Linked DNA regions of Astyanax mexicanus. The protein of the gene in region 1 interacts with the protein of each later gene in a pairwise test. Links are inferred from orthologs where the notes say so. Each region holds a gene or a part of one and is shown in the gene's direction. Other genes may lie near its edges.

Region 1 (11,087 bases):
AACTAAAGTCAAGCCGTGCACGACAGAGAGAGAGACAGGGGAGGAATGTAAACAAAAGCTCGCCAGAGAAGCATTTTATTTATTTATTTTTTTTTCATTATCGTTCATTACAGTTCAGACAACCTCACGGGCCATATGTTTCATGCTTGCGGTCCACATCTCACCCTCAGTGTGTAGTCATTTCCCCATGGCCTCCTCCGTAGGTAAACTTGTAGATTATACAATATATTATTAGCAACTATCTGCTCTCAATGCTGTAGGCTGTAAAACCGATCATGAAAAGCAATTAATACAAGAAATAAAGCATACATCAAATGAACTTACAATTTAGGCATAATAACTTGACATTTCGAATCTAATTAAGAACATAAAAACTAACCAGTTTCCTCAAATTGTTTAAGTAAAGTAAACAGGTTCAAATCAACTATCTATAAACATATAGCAATATTTATTTATTTATCTATTTATTTATTTATTTATTTATTTAGGTCCGCCCCCACCCCCCTCTTTGGAGGACAAATTAAGCTTTATTAGCTTTAATAAACAATTACATTAGAGAGATAGTAATATAAGCAAAATAACAAGCAAAAGAAGGCAGGAGAACAAGAGAGCAGAACAGGTACAATATATATAGGCGGGAGAGAAAACAGAGAAAAGGGATAGAGAAAGAGATGGAATCTGTGCCCAATTGGTGTGTATGTGTGTGTATAGTAACATTCAGGTAGAGGTGCTGGATGTATGGAATAGTTGCCATTATGGTTGTGTTAGTGGTGTATTGGTGGTCTGTGTGTAAGAGCTGATGACATCATGCAAAAGGTTGTTCACTACTGACCATGTCTTCATGTGTTCTTAAATTCTGTTTTTGGTAGATGCTAATATTTTAGCAGTTAGCAATCCTAGCAACTGATCATATGTTTTTCATCTACACTTTACACACACAGTGTGTGTGGAGCTCAGATCTGCCTACGGCTGCTTAAAAAACACAGTCTCACACGCAGAGCTCTTCAGTGAGGATAACGGGATTGGTCTGATTGTGACTCATGGCGAATTAAAGCCTTATTACACACGACATATAATTATGTTTATTAAACATATTCATCATGAATAGAATATAAAGAGTTGGATGTATCGGGACAGGGCTCTGCAGAAGATGTTCAGAGAACAGCATTCTCTGCTCGAACTGATTTGATTTTGGTGCCTGGAAATAGAGAGAGTAGTTACATTCTCTACTCACATTTCCTATTTGCATAAATATTGAGTTCATAAATAAACTCGATTCAAATGCGATTGACTCCTGGCTCACTAGCCTGCAAGTAACGAGAGGAAACAGGAAGCTTGTGAAATGAGAAGCGGCATTTCTTATTGATCGGAAACGGACGACATAAAACCTGGCCTTGCGTTAATCCCTCCGGCTACTTTAGCCGAGCAGAGCTCAGTGTATAACAGGACTAAATATACTGAAGTTTTTATCACAATACTACATTTTTGTCCTCCATAACTTTTACAAAATGACTTTTGATATATTCTTGTTCTGTTTTGTTTCACCTTTGGTCTGTTCTCTATGCTCATCTGTTCATGTGTAGCTCCGCCCCCTTGTTACTCACCCCAAGGTGTTTCCTGTCCCCATCCATGTGTATAAATAGACCCCTTTGTTTCAGTAACTTACAATTTGGATAAAATAACTTGACATTTTGAGTTTAATTAACCATATTAGTCTCTATATACTCAAAGTACAATAGTATGCATTCATAAAGCATTATAAAGTGGACTATAAATATTTATAGAAATGTATAACACTTTACAGCCATGTTTATTATGCATTATGAATTGTGATTATGATGCATCATCAGCTGTGCTTATAAGATGTTATATGTCAATACCCAGAACCGAAACATAGCTCCTTTAACAAAGCATGCTATAATTAACCACTTTTAACCACTCATATTAACTTATATTACTTTATAATGTGTTATAATGTGTCGTTGTACACTTTAAGTAAAGTGAAAAATGTCCAAAAAGGGGATATACTGAATATGCTGTATTAATAGCAAGAGAAATGTAACATTTTAACCCCGATGCATAACATACTACAAGCTTATTACAGGTTATGATGCATTATGATCTCAGTTCATAATTAAGCAATAATACATGAGAGGGAGTGATATAACATGTAATAAAATAACTTTAATATGAAAAAAATTGCGATTATACCACAGTTTCATTATCACAGTTTATTGAAAGATTAAAGAAGACGAGAAGCGCTGCATTGTTGCTAGGTTACCTGTACTGTATGTGGCATATTAATACATGGAGAGCTTTGGTTACAGTGCATTACCGGCTGATAGCGGCACTCATAGAACGCCTCTCAGCCAATCACATTGTAGGGTCGGAACTAACTGTGGTATAATGCATAATAAACATGGCTGTATATGATTTTTTAATATATAAATATTTAAAGCCATGTTTATAATGCTTTACGAATGTACTATTGTGTGTTATCAGAATGTTTAAATAGTCTAATAGACACAACATTTATAGAAAGTTAGAAATTAATAAAAAGTAATTAACAAATTGTGTTATATTGTGTTATTTAAGCACTTAAAAAAAATCCAGATGACACTGCAGACACACATATGGCAAGATTAACATTCCTCTGTATTTGTACTAATGTGTTCATTCATAAATCTTGAAAAATGTATTGTTATACAGAGTTTATATGAAATTTAAACAACTATACTGCCCATAATATAGATTATGACCCCCTGGAACATCTACTGAACAAGCAGTCAGGAAGCTCAAATCCACAGCGGGGGTCTTTTCAGAATAAAAGAATAAGAAAGAGATTGATAAGAAACTCCTTTAGGGTTCACAAAGAGGAAATCCATTCATGTCTTTTCAGCCTGAGCTGAGCTGTCTCCATTGTTAGAATCAATTCTTGGTAGAAAAAAAATGTCAGCAAACATAAAAGACAAAGTTTTGCCGTGTCATTGTCACAGGAGGGACAAATCAGCAGTGATTTTTGATGATAACACATACCCTTTTAAGAGTGAGTGGAGGAAAGAATTGCTCTTTTCTTGGAGCTTTAGTCAGAGACGAGGGTTCATCTGATATCCACATTCACACTGAACACCCCCGGCCCCCGGAGACCCCACCAACAATAGCGGCTAAATGTGAGCTGAGAGTCAAAAGCTGCTTGCAGGGTGAAAAGGGGAACATGCTGGTGGTCTGCTTGTTTTCAGAGCTCTGGAGAAGCTGTTAATATTCTGTAATATTGAGGCTGTACATACTGAACCCAGAAATTAATCTCACAAAGGGATGATGCAAAATAACAGAGATAGGTCATTATCTTGTCAGATCAAATGACATTAGTGAAGGGTGGCAACTAGCCAATCAATCAATCAACTTTATTTTTATCTTTATCTCTGCACTGTAAACCCATACGTTGTTTGAACTCAAATGATTTAAGTCTGTTTTACATAAAATTGGATATTTCTAAACAATACTCAACTATTTTGAGTTAGTTGAACATTTGTAGGCACAAATATACAACATTCAAACTGAGATGAACCAACTTATAATAACTGAGTTTAGTCTGTCGCCATTAACAGCTTCTTTTCCATTGGCTTCTGTTACAATCTATTTGCATACTGGGTGTGTCCAACAGTTTCTGACTGACACTCACCATCAGTGTGTAGTGATTCCCCCTGGGCTACCTTAGAAATAAATCAAGTTCTCCTTTAGTTGTAATGACTTGATATTTAAATTTATGCTAACTCAAGTTTTCATTCCCCATTATTAAAAAAAAATGAGCAAACCGGCTGCCTTAAAAACGTTAAGTAAACTCAACTTATCTGGTCTTAGAGTATAAAAGAAATAAAAAAGTTAAATCAACTTCCCCTTTAGTTGTAATAACTTGATGTTCTAAGTTATGCTAACTTAAGTTTTCATTCCCCATTACTTAACGATTTTAAGGCAACCGTTTTTTTCTTTTCAATATACAGCTGAGCATTAACAACTTAACCTATTCAGACATGAATTATGTTCCATTGATGGGAAAATATAAGAATGCTATAATAATAATAATAATAATAATAATAATAATAATAATAATAATAATAATAATAATAATAATAATAATAATAATAATAATAATTAAACATATTTACTTTATTATTATATATAATAAAGTACATATATACTTTATTATTGTTTAATGATTGAGGGTCTTATCTTATTTTTATTGTATATCTTTTTATAAAATTATATATTATGCTTGTTTTAGATTCACTGCTGTTAAAGTAGCGCTAGATGGCGCCACTCCATTACACGCAGCGCTCCGGTGCGCGTGTTTGATCCTCACAGCTTTCCGTAGCAGACTGATCACGTGCACACAGGGTCAGCTGATTAGGGTGTATACAGTGTACAACAGTAGTTAGCCTGTTAGCGGCTCAATTCCCCTCTGATTCTCTTTAATATTGCAATCTGCAATATTTATTATTATAGTTATGGAGGCAACGCTGGAGCAGCACCTGGACGACACGTGAGCTCCATTATTATTCAGCAGCGGCTTTTATACAGCGCTGAGCGGACCCGCGCTGTTTATACAGTTACCCTTAACTAACTTAGCTTAACTGGCCTTACCCAACTCTGACTTCTTGTGTTAATGGTCTGGGAGCGTATCTTATAACCCATTTAACCCCTAATTTTACCATTAAACCCCTATTTTTATCATTGAACCCCTAATTTTACCATTTAAGCCCTAATTTTACCATTAAACCCCTATTTTTATCATTGAACCCCTAATTTTACCATTTAACCCCTAATTTTATCATTTAACCCATAATTTTTATCATTTAACCCATAATTGTATCATTTAACACCTAATTTTATCGTTTAACCCCTAATTTTATAATTTAACCCATAATTTTACCCTTAATCCCTAATTTTACAATTTAATTCCTAATGGAATCCCTACATTCTTTACTGCGACTAGCCTTACCTGAGTCTGACTGGGTGTGTTTATGGTCTGGGAGTGTATCTTTAACCCTTTTTTTATAATTTAACCCCTAATTTGATCATTTAACCTCTAATTTTTTATCATTTAACCCCTAAGGTTAGGCATACTGATATGACATATGCCTTCTATACAGTCAGCAAATTATTTATCTAGCTAGTGCTTGTTGTCACTCTTTTTAAAAATAAATCAAATAATAATCCCATATCATGGGATGCTTGGTATATGTGTAAAGTAATTAAATAATATATTTTTCTGCGTATGCTTAACTCTATCTACTTTATCTATAATTTCAGAATAATTTGAGTACAAGTACACGTTGTTTGATTGTGCTTCTTCAGTACTGTGATATACGTGTATATTTTTCAAAATGTAATTTTTTTCCCCCTTTCCTTAAAAAAAAACAAGTAGCCAATTTGTAGAAGTTTACATACACCAGCTGTTCTTAAACTGTGGTACTCAAATCGTCCCAAAGTGGTACCTTACGTAAGGTAGTAAGCACTGTAGTTCATTTCTTGGCTCTCATGTTTTTCTCAGTAGGAATACTGTATAATTCAGAAACAATTATCAATCAAATAACTTACCATGCTAAATTACAGACTGCAAAAGCAGGCAAGCTCCACACATATATAGGTTGTATATATAGTATACTAAAATCTTATTTAAAAAAAGCACACTCCTTGTTTAATCTCTGTAGAGAAGAATTGAATCTTTGGAACAGATAAACATGATCCTATCGGTACCATGCATAATGGAGTTGATGGGGTTATGGCTGATTGGTGTTGTTATTTGATTCTTGTTGTTTAGTACATTTTCCCACTGTTATAAATGCCTGTTATGAATGTCTGTTATCTGTTTATTTATTTCGTCAGAATGAAAAGTCCTTCAATCGTTGGGGTTTTGTGTACAGATGCCCAGGGTCATAATCTCGGATGTAAGTATTGGTTATCATTTAGTATAATACAAATAAATACAGTAGAAATATTATTAATCAGCTTAGTCCTGGATTGTCAAAAAAGCCAACTTGATATCTGTTTCAGTGTTTTGCAATTATTTTGACAGTTTTGTGTTAAAATAAATAAATAAAATAAAAAGAAAAACAGTATGTTTTTGACTAGTTGTGTGGTGTTTCTGCAGGCCGCGGCACCCTGTCTGATGAGCACGGTGGGGTTGTATCTGTCCTGGCGAAACAGGCTGCCTCTCTTACTAAAGACCCTACAGACTCTCCCACCGTGTGCCTCGAGTCTGACTCTGGGTAAGAGAACTCATATTCTCACTTATACAGTGTATTACTTTAACATGACTATGCCAGTTCTTTAGGTACACCAACAGATAGCATGCTGATAACAAACAGTCTGTTAAAAGCCTGTTATGAACTGAAATGACTGGATGACGTTTGTAACAGGATAGTAATCCAAAACATTCCTCAGATCTACCATAGAGTACCAGAATAGAGACACACTAAAGCTTGTGGATGTTCCTGCAGATGCCAAAACCTTTGCATGTTTTATTGAACGTTATGAACGACATAAACAATTCAATAAAACAGTTTGTTCAGTGCATAAACACTGTTAATATTTTAAGTCCTCTTAACTCCCTACCTGATTCAGTACACCATTACTGTGTGCATAAATTTCCACTAATTTCATAACAAGATTTTAGGAGCAATAGAAAATTACACTGAACTGCTAAAACTAATGGGACAGCAATATGTAAATTGGTTTAAAAGAAATTCATCAGGGGAGGGCTTGTTTAAGCTGTGAGGTGTTATCTAGTAAGTTAGGGTGTACACTATTCAGTGTGCTCATAGCAAGACACTAGAGAGACACTAGACAACTAGGGTTTGGAGGTGGAGGAAGTCAAGTCGAAGAGTCTCCACCTGCAGCAGAACTACAGCAGATCTTGTGATGTGGCTCTTAGAAAGAATAAAAGTACAACTTCCTCTAATATTATAACATTAAACTGCATGAATATCAGCTGGAATAACAGCTTATATATATATATATATATATATATATATATATATATATATATAAGAGGAAATTAAATATTTATTTTTTAAATCTACCTGGCCTATCTAATATTTAAATGGTAGTATTTATTAATATAAATATATATTAATTTAGGTCTGCATTTTCCCCTTTTATAACAACAAAAAAAATATTAATAACTGTAATTCTGATAAACCAAGCTTCTTGTTTGCAGTTTTTAAAACAAAGAAACAGTTTTACAAAGAATTTAGAGAGAAGATTATCACTATCATTAATAGTGTGCATTATTTGGTTACAGAGAGATTTTTTATTGTATGTTTATATTTTTAGAATAAATAGAAACAGCGTCACAGGTGTGTGAGGGGGGTATCAACCCAGTGGGGATTAAGCTCTGTCGAACAAGTCAAACAATAAATTAAAAAAAACGACATGCACCAAACCAATGCAGGCAGGAGTTGGAGTGAGGTCTGATAGTGGGTGCAGATGGATGGCCGCTGGTGGTAATGATCATGACCTGCGGCATCTGGCTAGAGTTGTCTGTGTGAACAGACGAGTAAGTGACTCTGGCAGAAATCACATCTACATGCAATACAGAAGACCCGCCACACAAACAAAATCCTATAGATCAGGGCAAAGTTCTTTAGCTTTCATGAGACGCTACACTAGTTCCTGTCCCATGACGTGGCAGTTCAAAGTAAAATTCAAGACATAAGTAAGAATGGGGCCATTTAAAGCTTCTGTTCACTGTCTGGTTGCTCTATAGACAACATTGTATTTAAAAACATGTATCTTGTTTCAGTACTTGTTGTTTACTTAGTTTTAAAGTCGTACCCTTTTATTGTTGCAGGAATGTCCTGGTGAGAACACACGGAACCATCACTGTCGCTGTGCACAAGATCGTGTCCTGAAGTCTTGTAGTGTTTGAGTTGCTCCCACTGAACAGTAACTCATGATCTCTGTCTGTCCTTCCGATAACTCTTAGCTGCTATGTGATACAGGTTTTGCAATGCTTTTAACATTTAATGGGTTTCAGAGAAATTAAGAAAACTATAAGTACTCATTTTGTATGCTCATATTATGTCCCTGTTTTGAATGTTTCTGATAATGATGAACTGTTATTCCTATTTAATATTTTTTTTGCCATTAAATAAATTATATAAAAAAAACGTGTAGTTTAGCACAATATATTTAACTTCTTCTTTTGTGTTGTCATGAAAACAGTGTATTTAGATATATCTGCCTACTCAGTGAATAGTTTTGCACATTGTTAATGAGTATGGCTTAGAGCCAGTGGAAAAACCCAAAAATCAGTGTCTCAGAAAATTAGAATATTATATAAGACTTTTGGCAGTGTGGGCAGTGTGCCAACTCCTGCTGGAAAATGAAATCCGCATCTCCATAAAAGTTGTCAGCAGTGGGAAAGCATGAAGTGCTGTAAGATTTTGTGGGAAAACAAAACTGCACTGACTTTAGACTTGATAATAAAACACAGTGGATCAACACCAGCAGATGGCATGTCTCTCCAAACCATCACTGATTGGTTGAAGCTTCACACTAGACCTCAAGCAGTTTGGACTGTGTGTCTCTCCACTCTTCCTCCAGACTCTGATCCCTTGATTTCCAAATAAAATGCAGAATTTGTGCAGTGTTTCCCCACAAAATCTTACAGTACTCATTTTAAAAAGTGTACAGCAGGTTTGCTCTGGTGTGAATTAATTAACGAGTTTGTAAACTTGGATTGTTTGGTTTGTTTTCACACTGGGAAAAATTTGAGCCTATCAAAATGAATCACAGCAAACCATGTGAGAATATTCTCTCTTTTTTTTTGGTCAGACCTGATTGGGGCTAGAAGGTAAATACAGTAAGAAGGTCCTGTTTTCTGGATTAGTGCATATTTCTGTACACTTAAATACAAAGTAACAGCAGAGATGGCATTTATTCAAATCTGTAGAGATGATTTGGAAATAGATTGTTTAAAGATTGAATTTTGATACTGATTCAGATTTGGCAAATCTGATCCAAATCACAATTTAGAGGTGGTTTGAAATTCACTCTCAGTCAGTCTGGATTTCATGGTATCTTTTGTGCCAATTGCAATGCTACCAAATATGACCTCATTAAATCCAGAGTGATCGTGATTTTACTGGGTGTCTGTTTGAAGGGTGAGATGATGCTCCTCAGTCTTCTTCTTTTGCTTCAACGTATAAAAGCCATACCATCAGCATGGCGACTAACACTTCCATAATTACTACAGCAACCCACACAGATAGCTTTGTGACGTCCAGACAGGCAAATCCGATCTGACCACTTCTGAATTGATATGAATAGTCATGTAACAATAAATTATTATTAGTTCTGTATATAAAAGCAGTGCCAAATATAAAAAGTTGGCTATAGTTGGAGTAGCACTGTTTTCTCACATGGTGGCAGCAGTCACTGCTGGGATGGGTAAGTCATTTTAACTATCCCAGCAATGCGCTGGAAATGACATGCCTGAACAAAGTGCCCCAATACGGTTATTCAGGAATGTACAGAGAGGCCCAGGGTTACAGTACAGTTTACACTGTTTACTGGATTCATATTTCAGAAATTTGGTTGTTAGTTCTTAATAGGCTTATTACAATAATTATGTTATAGATTTTATCATACCACAGCCCTGGAAAAAATAAAGAACAGTTTCTGAATCAGTTTCTCTGATTTTGCTTTTTATAGATATATGTTTGAGTAAATTGAACATTGTTATTTTCATCTATAAACTACGGTCAACATTTCTCTCAAATTCCAAATAAAAATATTGTAATTTAGAGCATGTATTTGAGAAATGGCTAAAATAACAAAAAGAGTTTTCAGAACTCAAATAATACAAAGAAAACAAGTTCATATTCATAAAGATTTAAGAATTCAGAAATCAATATTTGGTGGAATAACCCAGATTTTTAATCACAGTTTTCATGCATCTTGGCATGTTCTCCTCCACCAGTCTTACACACTGCTTTTGGATAACCTTATGTCACTCCTGGTGCAAAAATTCAAGCAGTTCAGCTTGGTTTAATGGCTTGTGATCATCCATCTTCCTCTTGATTATATTCCAGTAAACAGGGTGGTAATGGTTTCATTTGTTTAGATTCATTCGAACTGTATTCACTCCGTTTCTGATGAATGCACAGGAAGTCCATTGGAGCGAGAGATTTGTATAACCTTTAACTGGAATCGAGAGGTTTAAACTGACCTCTGTGGTGGTAAAAATTAATTGACCGTGAAGGAAGGTGACTTTTCCATTGCACAAATCTTCAATCAAGGACACACACTCATTATAAGCTTTGGGTGGTGAAAATTAGGGTATTGATTGGTGCACTGATTTCCGTGGTTAAAGTTTGTATGGGATTTTTTTATCTAATTTTCAATTAAGACAATGAAATAATCAAGATTACAGGCTAATGTATTTTATATGTATTTTTTTATTTTTTATTTGATTGAGGTCAGAAGCCTTATGTTAACCATGTCCAAAGGTGGCGTTGACTTTTCCGGGCTCAGACACATCTGGTATGGACCATCACACAGTGGAAACGTGCATTGTGTTCAGAGAAGTCGGTATTCCAACGCAGAGCGTGGCCTTTGCCAAACGTCAGACCAGGCACTCTAAATTCCCCTCCCTGATTGGATCCTTGCCTATTGCATACCAGGAACACACCACAAGACCTGAATGATGTTTTAGGAATGCTGTGGCTCACTCAAAGTCATTCAGATTCTTGTGCTTACCTTTATTTTCTTGCTGGCAACACATCAATAACTTAAAGAACTGACAGTTCGCTTGCTGCCTAATAGGTCGATCCCAATCTTTGATAGCTTTTTTTTTTTTGTTGGAATAAGACAATAATTTGTACTTGGACAACAGCATTAACTAGCATTAATAATAGGAGTGGGCAATATGGCCCTTAAATAATATTACAATATTTCAAAATTGGTGGAAATGATGTTTTTGGGGATAGAAAAAAATAAAAATAATAAAATATTACATTAATTTAAAAATATAATCTAGTACTAAATACTCATAGAATTATAACAGTTTTAAACATATAGCA
Region 2 (10,100 bases), on another chromosome or scaffold:
AAATCATTAATAATCAGTTATAACACATAAGTAGAAAGGGCAACAATGACCTGTTGTTTGCCAAATAGTGAACCCACAGCCATCTATATTGTTGCCCTTTCTACGTATGTGTTATAACCGATTATTAATGATTTTTAAGGCATTTACAAAAAGGTAGTCTTATTTTAAAGTGGTAACAATAATTGTATGAAAAATAATTGCATGGTGGCACCAGACACACATAACAGGCTTGGGTTCCTGGTTTTGACTTGGCCATTCCAGAACTTATTTTATTTCTTTTGAGCCACTTATTGGTGTCTTTCCTGAAATGTTTTGGGTCATTGTCATTTTGCACGGCCCATCTCCACTTGAGCTTATTTTTTTCCTCCTGCACCTTCTTGAGAATGCCCTCACCTATATAAGTTCTGTTATTTTGTAAGACTGAACACTGGTCAGCATGCTCATGGCAACAAAACATTAATTATCAGAGTCTGAGTCTGAGTGAGGTCTAACAGTGGGTGACAGATGGATGAGACATTCCATTTCTGAAGTTGTGCAGGAATTTAACATTCCTCCATCCACAGTATCAAGTGTATAACAGTGCAAACAGACAAGCAACACTGGCATAATTCACATCCACATTCAGTGCAGGAGGCCCCAAATACATATCCTAAAGGTCAGTGCAACGTTCTTTAGCTTCCATAGAACACAACAAAAAATGTCTATGTGTTTGACCCTTGTACGATCTTAACATTATGTTTACTCCCTTTGTCCTACGGGTCAAAAATGACCGGCCCTACTGAAGCCACAAAATTAAGCAGCCTTATTTAATTTTAAATCCAAAATCTATTTTGCATGATTAAACAACCTGTTATTTATCAATTCAATTCAATTTAATTAATTATTTATTATGTATTTTTTGCTACACAAAATAAAACGACAGTATTACATTTTTTTTTACCACAAACCAGCTGTCATAACAGTTTTATTTTACACAGTAAAAGTTTATTATTGTCATTATGTAATTCTGAATTAATTATATTGAAAGAGAAAAAAAAAACTCTCTGATGGCTGTCAGTTTGTCCATCACACGCCTTGCTGGTCTTGACTCACGGTTGTCAAAATCTTAGGATTCTTGAGAACGTGTGAACGATTTTCAGCGGCATTGTGGCATTAAAATTTGCCCATCCACTCTCTGCATCCCAGAGACTATACAATATAGACCATTTAAAAATGATGAGTTTCTTTCATTTTACCAAATCGAAAACCTCTGGAATATAATCAAGAGGAAGATGGATGATCATAAACCATCAAACCAAACTGAACTGCTTGAATTTTTGCACCAGGATTAAAGGCATAAAGCTATCCAAAAGCAGTGTGTAAGACTGGTGGAGGAGATTTTTTTATACACCTGCTAATATCAAAAGCTATATGTAGTCCTGGTCCTGGTCCTGGAGTCATTCTTATGATGTTTGATGCTCTGTGTATTAGAGAGCGAGTGTTTGACCTTTATACTTTTTTCTGGTGTTAAAAATGCTTTAATAACTCATGGGTCAAAAATGATCTATAAGACAACCATTGTACCCTAGTGGTGTACAGCCCACTTGGAAACATAAACATTTTTACTCTTTCTAATGATGGGGTGCCTTTAGGAAAAGTCATAAAATTTGAAGTTGGAAAAAGATAGTTTAAGGTTTTTTTTTTTTCTACAGCTAAACACGGTAGTGGGTCACTTTTGACCCGCAAGACAACACAAATTTATTAAACAAAATTATTAAATTATTATTATTTTTTAAATACAAACGTTTAATGAGTATCCAATCAACAAAGTAGGTGTAAAGATGTTCAGCACTTCCTGTAAATGGTGATGGTGGGCTGTAAGTGAACACCATCAGTTGTACTACAAGTACAACTCAATGACTTGAGGGTACATCCTGCTTGCGTAACTCATGCCTGGCATTCCTTCTCCATACCACACGGAGTGCTGAGTCGTCTGAATGAGCAGTAGTGACATCAATTCCTGTATTTGACCTGTGTGTCAGGGTGAAGGTTGCAGTACGGTACGTGTGTGTGTGTGTGTGTGTGTGTGTGAAAGCTGAGAAACAAGCCCTCCTCCCTCCCCATCATCCATCTATCAGCAGTGCAGTAAATCATACCATGACTAGACTAGTGACTAGTGTCACATAGGCCCACGCTTAGTCTCTCTCTATAGATACACTATGACTGCTTTACTTTATATCCACTGTACGTACGCTGTAAAAAATGTCAACCTGGGAAGAAGTTGATTTTAAGTGTTTTTAAGCTTTGAATTGATGGAAAAAATAAAAAGATTGAAGTATAATTATTTAACTTATAGTACTTTAACAATCATATATATATATATAACTAAATAATACTTTATTCTCTTTTTTCAACTTCATTTCAAACATCCTTTTAACATCAAGTTATTACAACTAAAGGGGAAGTTGACTTAACTTTTTTAGCTTTGTTATACTGTAAGACCAGATAAGTTGAGTTTACTTTTTTAAGTTTGCTCAAATTTGTTAAGGTATAGGAAATAAAAACTTAAGTGAGCATAAATTAAAGATCAAGTTTTTTTACAACTAAAAGGGAAGTTGATTTATTTCTAAGGTAGTCCAGGGGGAATCACTACACACTGATGGTGAGTGTTAGTCAGAAACTGTTGGACACGCCCAGTATGCAAATAGATTGTGACTGAAGCCAATGGAAAAGTAGCTGTTAATGGCAACAGACTAAACTCAGTTATTATAAATTGGTTCAAGTCAAAGATAAAGATTATATGTGCTCACAAATGTTCATCTAACTCAAAATAGTTGAGTATTGTTTAGAAATATCCAATTTTATGTAAAACAGACTTAAATCATTTGAGTTCTAACAACGTATGGGTTTACAGTGTAATGTTTGTAGAAGCGGTCTGCATACCTGGGTGCTTGGTTTTATACACATGTGGCAATGGAAGGGATTGGAACCTATATTTAATAAGGTTCCATTTGGATGGGTAAGGGAATACTTTCAGCAATAATCTGTTAAAATATCATGAAAGAACTTAGAAAGAATCTCTGCTCTGTGCTCTTGTGCCTGTGCTGTAAATCAGCTTCTTTTAAGCCCTAGCAAATGCTGCAACTGACCAAATTAGCAAGGGTAATTTTATAGGCTTAAGCATTTGCTCTGGAAATTAGCTGATGAACCGTGTTAAGCCCCCTTAATTCTCTCATGTGTCCTGTATTTTCCAGAGTGAAGATTCCACATGTTTTTTTGTTTTTTTCTCTTAGTTCAAAAGTGCAGGAGCTCTGAGAATGGCGAATAGAATCATATCTGCTCTTCAGTGACAAAAGCACAACAGACCGAGGTCTAAAATAGTTTCCACGCCGGCTATCTCTGAGCCTATCTGACTTTCCACATTAGTGAAGTCTGTCTCTGAAGCTCCAGTGCAGCCATTAGAGCTGTTAAAGAGCCTGGGCAGAGTGGGGATTATGGCGAAGGTTGCGTTTCTTCCACAGTGATGACAACAGTGGTGAAAGAGCATATAGTGTAAGAATAGTGGTGTTTACTGTATGGGTGCATGTCTGCATGTCTGAGCTCCACAACATAATGTGCATTCACCATTATTGTGATACTGTGATGATGTAAATGCTTCGATCACAAGGAGCTTCAAGATGTCAGTGACTGCAAAGCAGACAAACCAAGTCTCCCTGAAGCTGCGGGAGTCTCCCACATTTCGCTAGTGGCTCCCTGATGCCCGCGAGTCACATATAATCTCCCGGAAGTTAAATTAAGTGATTTCTTTTCGTGTCACACTGAAGACACATTTATATTTACATCCTGCTTTGTAAATATGGGGCGTGGTCAGTCAGCGGTGGATGTGGGCACGCACGGTTCATTTACAGTGTGTTCGTGGAGCGGTGTGGGTGTGGCCTGACTGTTATGGAACGCCTTTTGGGTCTTTATGTCTGTGAGAGACTGCACTGTGAGTGTTGTGGGCGGGGCTCACAGCAGCCCCCTGCTGCTCGCTGCGGACAGTGACTGAAGAGCATGTGTTCATCTCAGAGTCGCCAAAAATCTCCAATAACACCACAAAAACTCGCTAGATTTGTCGCTAGTCGCTTTTTTACAAAAAAAAAAGTTGCTAGAGGGTCTGAAAGGTCGCTAAATATAGCGACAAAGTCGCTTAGTTGGCAACACTGTATCCTGTCTCCTCCTCTTTTGCTCACCTGTTCATTTGTAGCTCCGCCCCTTAGTCCCAGGTGCTTCCTGTTTCGTTGGTCAATACTTGAAAAAACTAAAAGGGTAGCATTGGCATGTTCAGTGTGTCCACACACACCTAATACACCGTGGTTTTAAAAGTTGTAATTCAGAAAAGTTCAGTACAGTGAGAGATAAAGAATAAATAGTGATAAAAATCTACTTACAGCTGAGAGAGAGAGAGATAGAGAGAAGTAGAAGGGAGGGAAGGGGGGACAAACAAGACTACAGTTATCTAAGAAATACTGCTGTACTACTGTGACTCCTGTGCTGGGATGATTTGACAGGAAATGGTCAATACTTTTGCATTTGTTTGAGACCTGTTCCATCGATATGTTTGCATTTGCATGTAAGAGAGATGTTACTTGATATCAATTTGAAATTCAAAAGTAAAAAAATCAGGTGTAATTAAGGATTCAGAAAGAGACGTTTGTGGTTCCAGAAATAATCATTAATGTAAAAGAGATGTTGGCATTAATAACCTTTTAGTATATCTGTTTAAGGTCAGATCATTAAGTTCAAGGTTCTATTCCAATTAAAAGGTTTTTTCACATTTGCATACATCTCTATTTCCAAAAGTAATTATTTTATGGCATTGATCATACAGCTATTTGTATAATTACCTTTGATTTGAAGAGTGTAGGAACAGGAACAGTGTGGTTAACTTATAAAAAAATACAGGTTATCTATTGCTTATTCATTGTTTTATCATTTAATAATCAACTCTACCTGCCTCAATGTTTAAAGCAGAGGTGGAAAAAGTACTGGAAAATTGTAATTAAGTAAAAGTACCTTTACTTTGCTAAAATTCTACTCAAGTAAAAGTAAAAGTACCCATCTAAAAACCTACTCGAGTAAAAGTAAAAAGTACTCAATGTAAAATGTACTTTGAGTAAAAGTTACATAGTTACTTTTATTTATTTGGTGTAAAAAAGTACACCAAACAAATCATAAATTAAATAATTATTAAATTAGATAATTTGGACCTTTCAGGCAGTATTTGTTCAGACCACCCTAACAAACATTTTAAAGAACAAGTGGCATAGATTTCTATGATCCATTTTTTTTTCTTTACTGTTAAAAGTTAAAAAGGAAACGTTCAGCTGCGCTACCATGGAGAACAAAACTCACTTTTTTTTTATTCAGACAATTATTTTTTTGTCCCCCAGCATTTATTTTTTTGCTTAATAACAGGGAGTTTTCCAATGTAGTGAAGTAAACTACTTGTGTCAAAATGTACTTGAGTAAAAGTAAAATTACCTATTTTTACCTATATTTATAAAATCTACTCAATTACAGTAATGTGAGTAAATGTGGTTTAAAGTATTGAAAGTGAAACATTATGGACTGATGGACTGACTAGCTGCATAACAGAGCACTGGATTGAACATTCCCCAAGTTCTAATAACGCATGTGTGTGCATGTGTGTGTGTTGTAGGGATCATTTCCAGGCATCGGGGGATTTCTAAACCTCCCCTGCGCTGTTCCAGCACACGGCGGCCAACATGAGTGTATGCGAGTACGGGAGGGAATATCAGGTGTCGGTGCAGACAGGCTGTGGAGTGAGGGCATCGTGTGGAAATAGCATCAGAGACGGTATAAAAGGCAGATACACACACTCGCTCAGTCAGACAGCATACACACACTGCTCAGGGGGCAAGCAGTTGAAGAACCAGGTGAAGAACAAATTGAGATCTATCTTCTTAGCAGAAGAAGAACAGAACCAGTGAAGATCCTCTTTAAGAGACGATCATTGTAGATCCTCTACAATTACAGTTAACCCTTAAGTAACAAGACAAGACACAGAAGCTGAAGATGCAGGTTTGCACAGTCCTGGAGAAGCGTGGCGGCTGCGTGGTGGGAGCCGAGCTGAGCTGCAGTGTGAGGGAGGAGAACGCTGCCAAGAGAGAGAGCTACACCGCTGACTGGCACAGCATCAACATGAAAACACAGCACGAGGATCGGTAAGTTCATATACTTACACTTAACTTACATTTAATTTTATTTGTGTGGGAACAGTCTTTCCTTAATTTTATAACTTAGGAATGTCTTTCTCAGGTTCTTCTTAAAGTTATCCTAGACTCCTGACTTTCTGATATATTTGACCCAAAAAGTCTTTTGGTCTTTAGTCCTGCTCCTGAAGAACTACCTTCAACCCAACTGTGGATCAAAACCACCCTATCCAACCAACCTCTGCCATCAAATTTCCTTTATTGGCTAAAAGAAACCTGATTGATTTGGGCTGGAATTGAAACCTGCTGGAAGGTAGTCCTTTAGAAGCTAAAGAGACTTCTCTTTGAGGACTACAAAGACAAAGACCAGTGGTTTTCAATCCTGCTCTTGGAGAACTTCCTTCCTATAAACGTTGTATCCAACTGTTCCCTTTAGATTCAGTCCTTAATTGATTAAATGATGTATTATAGTTTTGGATTTTGGATCCAATCCTAATCCACCCTACCAACTAACTTATGCCTTCAGATGTCTTTAATTGGCTGAATTTGGTGTGTGCTAAAGTCCCTAAAAACTTTGCATCCAACCCTACCTTATCCGTCTAGCCAATCAAAGACATCTGAACACAGTAGTTACTTGGATAGGGTAGAACGTGCTATAAGGTTGGATCCAAAGTTTGCAGGAATGTACCTCTCCAGCAGGTCATCAAATCTGTCACTGAGACCTTAAAAAGATATGAAGCAGTGAACTCCATCCCTTCTCCTGAAGAACTACCTCCCTGCAGAATGGGATTCTTCTGGCTTGGGTGGATCATGTTGAGTTGCATCCAAAGTTTGCAGGAATGTACCTCTCCAGAAGGTCACAATACCAGTCTATGACAATGTGAACTAGTAGTCCTCAACCTTCCTGCAGACTTTGGTTCCAACCCAAATTGATCCACCTGAGCACAATTTACCATATCCACTTTGCAAATACCTTCAGATGTCTTTGATTGGCTAAATAGGGTGTAAAAGATTTGGGTTGGAAATTTGACCCAAACATGAAACGATTTCCCTGGATTGGACCCAGATTTCCTTCTCTCTAAACAGCAAGTGGTTAAGATTAGTAACTGAATTATAAGCCTAAAATAGACCCCCTTAATGGACTTGCATGTCAGCCCACATGTTAGCCCCTTACCCTCATAAATACTGCCTGGAAATTAGAGTAGCAAGTAATTAATACTTATGCATCTGCAATAAACCTTAACAGCTTGTTAACAACCCACCCTGGACCTTTAAAGGGGTTAACCACTTCTCTCCTGCGCCTTCTTCTCTCTTCTCTCTAGCCAATCCATGGCAATGTCCGACGATTCACGACGGGAGACCATGTCTCGTTACTGGCAAGCTCGCCCCCTCACCCAGTCCTGTCCATCGGGAGTGCGAAGAGTGGGAACTCTGGAGTCTGGCGTTCGGGAGCACCAGCTGCTTCCCAAAAGAAACACCCTCCCCCTGCCAGTCTTCAAACCAGTGGACCTTGGCATCCGACTGGGTCGCGGCACTCCACACACCCCCGAGGACTTCATCCCTGCCCGCACACCCAACGGAGAGTGCCCAAACAAGAGGGACATCCAGGAGATCACCAGAGACCTGCCACCCGTCAAACCAACCCACATGGAGTTCGCCAAATCGGCCAGAACCCTGGGCAGGTCCATGTCTCAGGAGGCCCAGAGGGGGTGAAGAGAAAGAGAGCAAGAGGGGACGGAGGGGAAGCTGAGTCGAAGAATGTTTGGACTTTGTTGAACTGTGGAAGGGCACTGAGAAAAGGGGGCTAACCTTGCAGATATAGGTAGAAAATGTACACAATAGACGTTTTAAAGCCTTCTTTGTTACTGCCCTCGCCCTGCTTGAGAAACTGCAGAGACTGATGTTGCTGATGACGATGCAAGAGGTTTGTAAAGAAGATATGAGCTGTAAATAGTATCTGATTAATTAAATAGACCTGTATAATTAAAGTAAAGCAAGTTAAACTTTAGAGGAAGGAGTTGAGCATGTTTTCGGCTGGAAACCATTGGCACAAATCGTACAAAACTAGACAGAAGAAATGAAGCAGACAGAGCAAGTTCTGGACTTGAAGGTTGGCAGGCAAGATCCTTTGAGGTACTGATGCCTACTTGGAGGAAATCAGTCAGAAATCAAGAAGGAAAGATACAGAAGAAAACAGAGGGACAGAAGCAGAGACAGTCAGGTTTATGTGTATTTTGTAAGCAGTCCTGCAGTTTATGCAATGAAAAAAGCAACAATAAGCATGTTTACAATGTTTAGGTAAATATATTTTATTTTGTTACGACTTATAAATGAATGAAATTGCACTATTTGTCAACTGTTGCTTCACATGCAGTTGTTTTTTCCTCATAGATCACAGTGGTCTTTTTTCTTGTTTGTAAGATGTCCAATGTATTGTTTCAATAAATAAATGACATAAAAAAAAATGATTGCTTCGAGCCTCATTAATGTGTTTTAATACAGCATAATACAAAAAAAAAAACGTAATAAAAACTTTTAGTGGTTCAAATGAAACTAGACAGTTCAGTCCCAGCAGAAGCAGCTGTTGCTGTGATACAGGTGTTGGTTGGTTGGTTAATTGTTGATATGGTATTGTTGTTAGTTACTATGTTGTAGGTGTTGGTTGCTAATGTGTTGCTAAGTGGTTTCTAAGGTGTGCGGGATGTTTTTCTAAAGTTGTGGTGTTGCACAAGTAGTGGATTTTTTAAAAATACTGCTGATGGTGCAAAAGCTATCCTCTCCTGGTGCCACGTGTGCGGTTGCGTGATTGGTTAATTTTGTAATATGACTGCTTCAACTTATCACGCTACCTCCCCTTTACCTCAGTATCTGCCTAAAAAAGCCACACTGTGATAGGACTGGAGTTTAGATTGAGGGTACTGACAGCATGGTGGTAAATGTTCATCTCTTTCTGGTCTGCATGGATAAAATCTTTAAGGTTGGCTCCATGTTTGGAAGAGTTCCTGCACAGTGAAGTGCTATGCATCCCAAAATGCTGTTCCTCACCTCTAAAGTTGCTGACGTTGCAATGGACATATTTTATCAGCTTGATCTATCTCAGCTTGGGAAGAAATGTATGATTAATCAATATATGCAATTACAAAAGCATAAAACTTAAAACTTGCCCACTTGGCATCAATATGACAATATGACAAGTTGCAGGCTGTGTAAAACTGTGTAAAAAGACAATGGTTGAAATAAGACGATGAAGAAGAACACTTAAGGAGAACAATGGCAGAACCTTCTGCCATCACACTAATGATAAAAAAAATTATATGATTCAAGGATTTGGCAACGCACAACAACAAATATGAGTCACTAAAGAGTTTAACAAACAATAGAAACGGGGTCATTTAGATTTTCTCAGCTGTTCTATGGAGGGATTATCTCTGCCGGGAGAAACAGGTGCTTTAGCCCTGAAATAGTACAAACACTCACTGTACCAACCGAATTATCATATATCATAGCATACCACATTACCTTCTGGAACAATGGTCAACTGGTCCAACTTTCAAGCACTGGGGGCTCACCAGCTCAGTGACATTAGAGGCTTAGTATGGAAAACAAGATGGGAGGAGTAGAGATGAAGGCAGGAATGGAATGAGGGAAGAGTGGAGACCAGGACTGACTGTCCTTTGGCATCTTTCCCATTCATTTATGCCAGCTAGCTGGTCAACATGGCAGACGTTCAAAGGCACTTTTATTAGAGATACATCAAACAAAATGTACCTGGCAACAGAAATGCAGACTCCAGGTTCTTGGCATGAAAACAGCTCAGTTGAAGATAGGCGGAGAAACTTCTGAGAAAGAACATATTGATATTTTATACTGTATTAATAAGACACTATGTCTGGGGTGTTTTAGGGC
Region 3 (11,087 bases), on another chromosome or scaffold:
TGTGGTGGTCCCAGAAGTTTTGAGTAGAAGTGTGAAATATTTTTCATAGACATCCACCTAAAAAACTAATCCTGTCCGGACAGGGCTTAAAACAACCTTTATTTAATAAGTTCTCAAATTGACTTGGGGTGAAGTGAAACATGATAATGAGTACAAACTTTTGCCAAATAGCCCATCTCCTTTCACCCCCAGCACTCTAAAATAAAGCACTTTTAGCCAATGCTCCAACAGGCTCAAAATAGCTAGCGATAGTGGCATAACGTTGCTCATGCAAAAAAAAAAAAAACACTATCTTACCTATCCAGCTGATGATGAAAAAAAAAACCCTAAAGACCTATCCAGATAGGATTATTTTCTCAGGGGGTCCTGGGGTAATTTTCTCTTTTTTTGGGGGTCCTCTGCGATTTTAGGACCATGAAGGACCATGAGGTTTTTTGGCTTTCTCGTTCACATGACATTGCGTTCAGTAGCTCCTCCATTTCCACTCACAGTCGTGTTTACATGGTTCTGGCTGAATTACCTTACATTTTTTTGCTGATCAACGTGATCCTCTGGTAATTTTAGTCCTGTCCGGATGCACATCTCTGAGTTTCGTCACCTCGCATTTAATAAAATAGCTATTTATCCACTTCTACTCACTGTAATTACACTTTGTGCGCACGGTTTCACAGAGAACCATGTTAACACAACAGCAAGTGGAAACGCAGGAGCTACTTAACGCGATGTCATGTGAACGAGAAAGCCAAAAAACTCACTCGTCCTCCTGTGGTGGTCCCAGAAGTTTTGAGTAGAAGTGTGAAATATTTTTCATAGACATCCACCTAAAAAACTAATCCTGTCCGGACAGGGCTTAAAACAACCTTTATTTAATAAGTTCTCAAATTGACTTGGGGTGAAGTGAAACATGATAATGAGTACAAACTTTTGCCAAATAGCCCATCTCCTTTCACCCCCAGCACTCTAAAATAAAGCACTTTTAGCCAATGCTCCAACAGGCTCAAAATAGCTAGCGATAGTGGCATAACGTTGCTCATGCAAAAAAAAAAAACACTATCTTACCTATCCAGCTATGCTTTTCAGTCAATTTATTGTGACTTTATTTCAAGATAGCAGTGCCCGGAGAACTACCTGAATGTACTGTGTGTATAAACTGTGTCTTTTTTAATAAACCACCTGCTCACTTTAGCAAAAAATCAAAAGCAGTAAAAAGGAGACAGAGACAGAATACACAAAATTACAGTCCAAACGACAGATTTCAACTTCAACTTCCAACTTTCAAAATTCACTTTCAATTTGCAGACTTAATTGAAACAACTGCCAATACTTCACTTTTAAATAGCATTCACAACACTGTGATAAATACATATTCTCAGGGGTCCATTTTTTTATAATATGAAACCTGGATGGACAAATAACAGCATAGGTTCATTAGCTTTTTAATGTCACTCTCCATGACCTAAACATAATACAGAATACCTTTGGAAGGGAAGGCGGTTAAAGGAAAATCAATACAGACCCATGTGCTATGTGAAGGGAGTTGTGATGCTGTCAAGAAAATCAGACAAAGCATCCTTAATATGAAAAAAATCCTTACTGGCTCTTGAAGATTGCAGAATGACATGAAAAGAAAGATGCTGAGTCAATTCCCCAGTGCATAAGTGATTCCCAGTAACTAGGGATAGCCTAAAACTACTAGACTGCCAGGAGAGTAGATTAAAACAAAGAAATGGTCTGTTGAAAAGTGGTGAGGTGGATTTTTTGATCCCACCTAAGCCTTTGGGCTGCTCATCTAAACCCTTAATGAAGAGAGGGGTTTAATGTGCTGATATGGGTGTCACCAGCTCTGTCACAGTAAAGTGTAGAATATGTGACCTGAGGTTGAGTCAGTCATCCTCAAAATCCAGCTCTGTTTCTAGATGTTCCTCTAAACATTGGTGTCTGCAGCTGACCTCCTTGCTTGTCTTAATTGCAGCAGCTATTCCCCTGAACCTTTTCCAGTGGATGATTGATCAGACACTTGACCAGGCAACACTTAATTTGAGCAATACCTGACCGAGAATGACCCAGACCTTTGTAGAATTGGATGGATAAAATGGATAACACAGCATTTCAAATTAAACTCCATCTCCTTTTTTAGGTGCTCAGTGATGAAGAAAATGTATTTCTGAGACCAACAAACAGATACAAATCCTCATTGACCTAATTTTTTCACTCATTTAACATTTTGTAGACCTTATGGTCAATTTTATTGTTTCACATAAAGTCACTATTTGAAGCACTTTTTTTTTCTTTTCAGGTGAAATTCCCTACCAGATTAATGCATCACTCAACTTCATCTTCACATTTAAGGAGGCTGTGTCTAAAACTGGAACTAGTTGACTTGATGCCTTGCTGTCCATGCCATCTCAGAATGGACCATTGAGATAAAGATTTCTGTAACTGAGGCAACAAAATGTGCAGAAATTCCCATGGTATCAACAGCTCACTGCTAGATAGGTTTTTTAAATGGATTTTTATTTTTCATATCTTTTATGCTAAATAACATAGGATGTTTGTAGATACTAGTACAATTAATGTACAAAAAGAACACTAATATTGGATATTTTACAATTGTTTGCATGTTCAGTAACATTGGTAAGCCTTTATTGAATTGAATTGAATTGAATGTGGATGTCCAACAATGGCCCACTATTCTCTTGTTGTCTTTTATAGTGAGTTTTTGAGGACTATTATCTAATAATAGTTTTTGAGGACTATTTTTTACACTGAAACAATCAGTTTATGGCAAAAACCTTCTTTGAGTGCAAATTAAGACCATTTCAGTGTTTCAGCTGACTATTGTTTAGGTTCCTATTACCACTATTGTTTGTGACTTCATTTCTTCAGAATTAAGCATTTTGTATTAAACCACTCTGAATCAGGTGGTGGTCTTTGCAGTAGGCAAATGTAGACAGCTGTTTATAGCCCCCATAACCAAAGAACATCATGAAATACAAATGGAATATATGTGTAACGTTAACCCTGAAGATAAATGTGGAGTAGGCGATTTTGTAACAAAAAAAAAGAGTAGGTGTAAGGTTGTTGTTTTAGGGGAGAAAAATCCACTCCATACTTTTAGCAATCCTTTTAAAAACACTTTTTCAGAACATATAAATGCCTGACTAGTCACGACAGAATGTTGAAGAGAGGCAGAAGCTTATTTTACAGTCCTGTGGCCTTCACAGATAATGTTTTTTTATTGTTAGAGCATTGAATTCATTGATAGCTCAAGTGATATAAAGAGTATTTTAAGAAATATTATTCAATATTCTTCTATTATTGTAGAGATTCTGCAGCCTCATCCTATATCATGTACAAATTGGATTATTCCAGGTTTTCATCTAATGCCTTAAACACATATAAGCAGATATACAAGTAAGCTATCAGCTATCAGGCAGTGTTAGATTTTGAAGAAGGGGATCTTTTAATTGATTTTCTGTATACTAAGCAGGAGAGATAGAAAGCTGTTTGCACTGACATTTACATGGATGGCTTTTTTATTATTACCCCTTATTGATTTTAGACCCTTATAAACTATTCTAAGATCATTACATTAGTTATTATAAGTTCTTTAAATTGATATATTACATTATTTTTATTTAACTCCTATGTAAAACAAAGACCAGTTAGATGTTCAATCTAGATAGCTATAAGTTATATACAATGACATGCCAAAATCATTCATGTAGACTGGTTCATTTCATGTAGATGTGAGTTCTAGCCAATCGCAACCTATCACAGTCATTACCACCTCATTACCATTTCGCTCTGCATTGCGGGTGGTCCCATCCTACACATTTGTTTACAACCCCAGATGATCTCAGTCTTGACCTGATTATCTCTAAATACAGTCCATATTGACTAAAGGAGGATGGGCCCCCTTATTTTTTTTCTTCTAAGGTTTCTTCCTCCAGCTTTAAGGGAGTTTTTACTTGTCACTGTCGTCTTGCTCACTGGGGGATTTTGACAATTTCAAGGTAAAATTTATTTTACATTGAAAAGATAGAATTAGAATGTAAAACTTTCAAAACTATTTCATTTTTTGTCATTCAGTACAGTGAAGAATAATGGATTGTCATCCAATTTTCCATCTAGAATTTTAGGAAAAATTAAAAAGGGAATATTCTCTTGATTTTCTGATTTTTCTAGTAACCTATGGGCTATAGGCTTTATATTAGTCATGTTTAAACCCATAAACAGTAGCCTGAAGCCCACCGTATCTGTACAGTATGTGTGTGCTGCCTCCTTGCTACCCCACCATGTGCTGACACTAGGGGCGAGAGAGTAGGACGTCAGAGGGAGACGGTATGCAGCCTGCCACAGCCTACAAATGTGTGTGGGGTGCAGGATGTAAATAAAACGTTGTTTCCGTGTCTTTTCCCTCCGCTTGCCTCTGGATATGGGGCTTGGATAGAACAGGCTAATACCTACATAAATGTGGGATAGAGGAAAATCCCCAAATTATATTCTATACAGCCTATGAGAGTGATTTAACTCTCATTCAAACGGGAAAAGGGAGTGTTTGTGTGGTTTTAACGAAGCGTAAACTCCTTGCTGTGGGAGCAGAGGGAGGACACGGAGGAAAAAAAGACGTGAGCGAGAAGAAGGGTGAGGACCGGGAGCCCTGGAAAGCTCTTCGCCGGCTTCCGGACATTCAGGGGCGGCATCAAGGCTGCAGTCGTCGCTAAACTGGAGCGTCGAACATCCCCGATACTGGATTGGAATATTTAAATTATCTCGTAAAGCCTCGCCGTATATTTGGCGTTTATCATGTCCAGAAAAGTCCAAAGGAGCGAGGTGTGTGCCGACTGCAGTGCGCCAGGTAGGTTGAAATGCATGGATCAAGGCGTTGTTGGGATCTAGCTAGCGCTAGTTAACATTGTGTCTAGTGGGCTGAAGCGAGCTGGCGCTGAGCGGAGAGACACAGAGCACGGCTGCTGGGCCAACAAACAAACGGAGAAACGGCCTGCAAACCTCGGCCAGAAAGTGACCAGGGCCTTAACATATATTAACATGAAGAGTCCATCATATTCACCAACATTAGACCGTATATAAGGCGGCTGCAGTTGTGTTTAACTATTTCAGAAAACTCTGTAGCTGTTAGTTAGCCGGCTGACTGGTTAAACGGGGTTAGCTACAGGCTAATGTAATGGCGAGTTTTATATATCGGGCTCTGCTTGTTGTTAGCATCCGCGCTAGCCACGTAACATTAGCATTAACATTATTTATCCTTTCACCTGTCTAATAAATTAGCTACTATATAGTCTATATAACATGTAAGCTACTCGTTATGAACACACATTGCGTAGTCTTCTAGCTAACCTGCTAATCCAGTCAAAAGCGTAACTATTCAGAATGCTAAGGTTAACAAGCTAGCTAGTTGGCTAATTTTAGCTAGCTAGCATACCTCTGTTGCGTATCCCGACTCAATTAGTTATATAGCGTTAGATTATAAATGTCAAAGCGGGACATTTATCAGAAATGCCTGGCCTATAACTGCACAATAACGGTGGCGAAAAATAACTAAGTACCTAGATAAATAGTTAGCTCAGCTAGGTAAGTTGGCTAAGGCTAGCTGCTGTAGACGATCTACATCGTAACCTAGCTAGCTAGCATTAGCTATCGTAGCTAGTAGCGTTAGTAATACTGAAACTAGACAGTTAACGCTAACGCTAGCTAGCTGTCATTGACACTGTCTTTAACCGGAGTTTACATCCTGGTCGTTACATCCATTAAATATGATTCTAAAGTTAATTATGCATGATATAATTTGTTGTTGAAAACGTCATATAATTTAAGAAACATTTGCTTATTCTGTCACATCATAGACAGTTAGCTGGATAGCTAACCTTAGCACAAAACTTTACTATAGGTTAGCTACCATTAACTAGGTTAGCTACCGTAACTTAAATTAATTCTTAAGTAAACTTGAGAAAAATGTCACGTTTCGGTAGTTTATTGTCTGCCACATTCACTTATAATGGCATGTATACTATAACAATTGATAAACAGTATATTAATTGCTGAAATTGAATGTACCATGGCTTGTTATGGCTTCAGTATCCTGTTATCATTTTTTTTTGGAACAAGACTTTTGCAAAATCAGCTCATTTTTAGGTGAAAAGACCATAATGGCACATCTGGTTTACCAATCTTTTAGTAGAATATTATTTATCAGTCTGACTCTAATGCCAATTAAAATTCTTTCTTATTTAAGTAAAAAAATACACACTTAAATCACAATGGAATAAAAACAAGAGAAATGTCTTTAAACACATTCGCAAATGAGTTTTTACTATATGTCTTCACTTTACAAAATTACAAGCTGTTCACACTACATACCAGTGCAAATAACTAATTTCTCCAACCCTGTCTATTGGAAGCAGTGTTTCTATATTTCTTATATTTCTATATCTCTTTTGTTTTCACTATGTAAAACCATATTTTATTAAGCTGTCATCCCATTGTCTTTTGATATAACATCTCTTAATGACAGTCAGGTTATTGAAGATCAGTGGAGCCTTGGCCTTGCTTATGAAGCTCCCATCTGCCCCATAGGGAAGAGGGGGCAGAATGGCAGCTGCTGTCATACCCCACAGCTGCTCTCTTTCCAGGAATGTCCCTCTGTCTTTCTGTCCCCACTCTCATCTGATCACCTTCTCTCTGCACCATCCCATCTACTGATTTGTAGCTCCTGAGCTTCTACCTGCAGTCTGCCTCTAGCATGATGCAGTTACCAGCATACATTGTCAGCACTAAGGACAACAACATTGACTCTCCCGCACCAGTGCTGAGTTTTAGCTGGTGTCTTGGGCACTTGATTGACTCTGTTACTGCTCTGTCATTACTGCCCCATATTACTGCAGCTCCCTGGCTGCTGCTGAGGAGCGTGTAATAGTCACGTTTGACATGCCAGAGGAATGCATATAATGGTGTGGTGTAAAGTGGGGCTGAGTGCGTCAGCTGGTGAGGAGCTGATAATTGTTGTACTGCAGTGTGAATGTGAAAGGGTGGATGTAAAGCAACGTGTTGTGCAGTGTAACTGTTTGTTTGGTTTTGTTTTGTTAAGTGGGAAGAAAATTGTTTATGTGGCTATAGAACACAATATTGTGTTGCAATATTTGCACTTTAACAATGCGGAAGTGTGTGAGCACGTATATGAAATAATGTTAAGCAAGATTAAGGCTAAAGATCGAATTGTAGTCTCTCATAAGGCAGGTTTCAGTTTGACCTAACCCTGTATTTTCTCTCTCACTGCCCCAAACTTTGGGTTAGAGGAATAGTTCTCTGAAACATGTAAGTCAATGTATAGAAATTGTGGAATCTGTTTATGGAAATTAGATTTTGACCGTAATGTGTAATGTTAGCGAAGCATCTCCTCTGTTGTAAATTAAAGAAACAAACATCAGATACTTAACATGTCATGGCTGATTGACTACATCCTGGATGAGTGATAAATTACATTAAACAGGGCCTATAAATACTGTTCCTGTCAGCAGCCACTTGACGAATCCCCTGTTTCATGAGATCAGCTGTTTGTCATGCTTTCATGTGAACTTGCACAGGGATTAGTCATAGCCTAAGTATGTAATATTGGGTTGTCAGAAAAAAATAACAACTTATGTAATAAATCAAGTTAACTGTCCCTGCAATTGCTACTTAAATCTGAATCTAAAATCTAAGCAGAAGAGTAGAAGCAGAAGAGTAAAGTTTTGATTCAAGTGAAGTTTTGGTTTCATCTTTGCCATCATCACAAAGAGCTCCAGTTGCTGACAGCTAGGCTTTTCCCTGAGAATGCCTTCAGGCTCACTGTAAAAAAAAAAGTCTCATTATTAGGCCACACACACTTCTTTGGCTTGTGTTCTTTAATCCCTTTAACTTTGCATTTAAAAATGTTATTTTCTTTTAAATTACTCTGGTTGTTTGGGGCAATTTCTTAAAAAAATGTATTTAAATAAGAAGTGGTTGCTAGATGTATCTTTAAAAACGAAACAAAGAAATCTCACATTTTTCACAATGTACAGGGTAACAATGCAAACTAATTTACACTGATTTTTTTTTCTTGTGGGATTACTAGTATAGTTGCTTATCCTAGTAGGTATAGTTGAGGTGCATTTATTTTTCTTGTAAAGAAACATGGTCACACTCTAGATTTCTCATACGTATTTTGTTCTTTTTTTGTTACCTTTTTTGTTTTTCTGCTGTTCTAGTAATTATGCATTTATGCATATTTAGTTCACTGTTGTCCTTACACAGGGTATTTGCCAGGAGTGAAGGTTTGTATTATGTTGGTATAATTTTAGTGAAGTTCTAGAGGCCAGTAAAAGCCGGCAGCATGTTTCTGTCATTCTGTACTTGGTCATTTTACTTTTTACGTTAGAGTAACCTTCACCCTGACTGCACTGCTCTCCTGGCAGCTTTTGCCTCATGTGCCACCTCAGAGACCCAGATTTGTGGGGATGTGCTCATCTGGGAACAGTGTGTTGCCTCAGATAACCTGATAGGAATATAAAACCCTTTTGCTACAGTGGTGAAACCTATTTCAGAAAAGGATTTGTAAAACTGTGAACGCTTTGCTTGTAGCTGGAAACAGGAAAAAGAATAAATACGCTGTCCGTTTTATAATTCAATCATGACAGGCACTCCAGGCCTTCTTGAGGACCGTTTTGATGGATGTGTTTTTTAAAGGGATTCTCAGTGAGTTTTATGCTGTGTTGGCAGATCCGGGATGGAGCAGTATAAACAGGGGCGTGCTGATCTGTGATGAGTGCTGTTCTGTGCATCGAAGCTTGGGACGCCACATCTCCATCGTCAAGCATCTGCGCCACAGCGGCTGGCCCCCTTCTTTACTACAGGTACTTGGCACATACATTGATCAAATATATCACCTTCATTTCTACACCTATTATTCATTTTTATCTATATCTAGCTCCACTGTTCGTACTGGACACATTGTAGTTCTGCAATTACAGGCTGTAGTCCTTCTCTGCATACTTTAATCCTCTTTTTGCCCTATTCTTTAATGGTCAGGATGCCACCGGACCCCCACAGAGCAGGTATTATTTGGGTGTTGGGTCATTTTCACCATTGCTGTAATACAGGCGCAGTGATGGTTTGTTAGTGTGTGTGTTGTTTTGGTTGGCGTGAATCAGGCACAGCAGTGCTCCTGCAGTTTTTAAATACCATCCACGCACCGTCCGCCCAGCTAGCTGCTCCAACATGTAGGTGATAAGTCAAGAGACGGAAGACCGTCTGTCGCTGCGCTCATTCATCAGTGCAGGACGCTGCCCGGAGGTCACTGTAGGTGGACTATTCTCAGTGCAGTAGTGATGCTGAAGTGTTTTTTTTTTTAACTCCAGCAGCACTTCTGTGTCTTTACTAATGCTAGCACTAGGGCTGCAACTAATGATTATTTTGGTAGTCGACTAACCTGATGATTTTTTTTTTATTAGTCAATGATTGTTTCTGCCATGTTCTCTATCTCTAAACACAATGAAAAAAGCTGGACATGAGATTTGAAAGGCAATGTCTAGATGTTGTTTTTAACGTGTAAAATACTGATATTGGACATTATCGATTATATCGACTAATCGGTGCAGCCCCAGCCAGCACAACACACACTAACACACCACCACCCAAATAACATATGCTCTGTGATGGTCCTGTGGCATCCTGTCCATAGAAAAACAGGGTAAAAGGATGATAATAAAATATGCAAAGAAACAGACGGACTACAGTCTGTAATTATAGAAGTACAAACTGCTCCCATTTACTCAATGGATAATGGGTGAAGAAATATAATGTTCTAGTTAATCAGTGTTTATTCTACACTGAAATAATAACATTATAATAATAATTGAAATAACAGGGTCTTTCTCTGTGTAGGCGTGACTCAATACATGGTTTTAATGTTGCTTTGTGTTTCAGATGGTCCAGACTCTAGCCAGTAATGGTGCTAACTCCATTTGGGAGCACTCCCTACTGGACCCTGCGCAGGTTCAGAGTGGTCGCAGGAAACCTAATCCACAAGATAAAGTGCAGTAAGTATAATGTGTAGAGATTAATGTCTTTTCATTGTGACACATGCTGTTAAAAAAAATCTGTACAGCCTTGGGTGGATTTTCATCATATTGGACAGAGCAATATAGCTCTCCCATCACAAGCAAAATGCTGGTTGGTAACTTTAAATATTGCAAAGTGCTATTTGTTAACTTAATTATTACACTCTTGAAGAGCAGAATGTTAAGGTTAAGTTTAATTATTGGAGTTCTAAAATATTAAGTTCAATTCTACATTTAAGTTTTATTTAGAAAATTCTTAATCTCTGAGATGCAACAAAAACAGCCCCAGCAGTCTCACAGAGTTCCCCAACAACTCCCCAGAACACCAGAACAATAAGTAAAGTCACTTTGCTGGCCCAGATAAAGTCCTTATGAGCATTGCTAAAATGTCCTGTTCAGCCTGAGAGTCTCGGAGCCACAAAGTACAATCAGTCCCTCAGCTTGCTGTAAAGGGATTCCACCTGTTACATAGAGACATATCCAGCCTAGAAAATGTCCTGTCCTCAATGTGAATTAACTCCAACAGCCACCCTTTGAAACATCCACACAAGAGCTGTTAGAAAGCATCCAAATGATGATGTAAAGCTGCTACAGGATCAGGCCTTGGAAACGTCCAAGTCCTTGTTTAGAGAAACCCTTGCAGTGGGGCAGAGTAACTTCCTAGCCACGCTGTAGACTCATTCCAGCAGCAGGCTGTAGAAATATCCAAGATATGAATTTGACTCCCATACCTCTATGAAACCCATATTAAAGCTTTTGGTAGTTTACAGTTTATGTCAGAAATATAAGCAAGAGCAGTCTATCCTATATGGACTGACATCAAGGAATTGTCAACATGATGTTAGCATAGACATTATCAATTTCAGTTTCAGATGAATAATTTTATGTATTTCACTTGTTTGTTGAGAGTGCAATCAGCTATTGCTGGATTTTTATGGGTTTAGTTACATTTTTGGCCTCTTTTTACAGCCCCACCAAGTCTGAGTT

The links.
Region 2: the proteins of lamtor5 (region 1) and tcap interact in binary tests that used the Homo sapiens proteins (3 or more experiments, as listed by UniProt). The link is inferred for Astyanax mexicanus from reciprocal best matches to the Homo sapiens genes LAMTOR5 and TCAP.
Region 3: the proteins of lamtor5 (region 1) and git1 interact in a two-hybrid assay, tested with the Homo sapiens proteins (2 studies listed by BioGRID and IntAct). The link is inferred for Astyanax mexicanus from reciprocal best matches to the Homo sapiens genes LAMTOR5 and GIT1.

What each region holds. Positions count from the first base shown.
Region 1 is NC_064419.1:41,213,174-41,224,260, forward strand, and holds lamtor5 (ragulator complex protein LAMTOR5), read left to right. Parts: upstream 1-4,381; 5' UTR 4,382-4,505; coding exon 4,506-4,540; intron 4,541-5,886; coding exon 5,887-5,948; intron 5,949-6,151; coding exon 6,152-6,269; intron 6,270-7,852; coding exon 7,853-7,913; 3' UTR 7,914-8,171; downstream 8,172-11,087. UniProt on the Homo sapiens protein: As part of the Ragulator complex it is involved in amino acid sensing and activation of mTORC1, a signaling complex promoting cell growth in response to growth factors, energy levels, and amino acids.
Region 2 is NC_064426.1:36,178,896-36,188,995, reverse strand, and holds tcap (telethonin), read left to right. Parts: upstream 1-5,858; 5' UTR 5,859-6,057; coding exon 6,058-6,206; intron 6,207-7,516; coding exon 7,517-7,907; 3' UTR 7,908-8,658; downstream 8,659-10,100. UniProt on the Homo sapiens protein: Muscle assembly regulating factor. Mediates the antiparallel assembly of titin (TTN) molecules at the sarcomeric Z-disk.
Region 3 is NC_064425.1:19,366,787-19,377,873, forward strand, and holds the start of git1 (ARF GTPase-activating protein GIT1), read left to right. Parts: upstream 1-4,325; 5' UTR 4,326-4,809; coding exon 4,810-4,861; intron 4,862-8,760; coding exon 8,761-8,894; intron 8,895-9,966; coding exon 9,967-10,079; intron 10,080-11,069; coding exon 11,070-11,087. UniProt on the Homo sapiens protein: GTPase-activating protein for ADP ribosylation factor family members, including ARF1.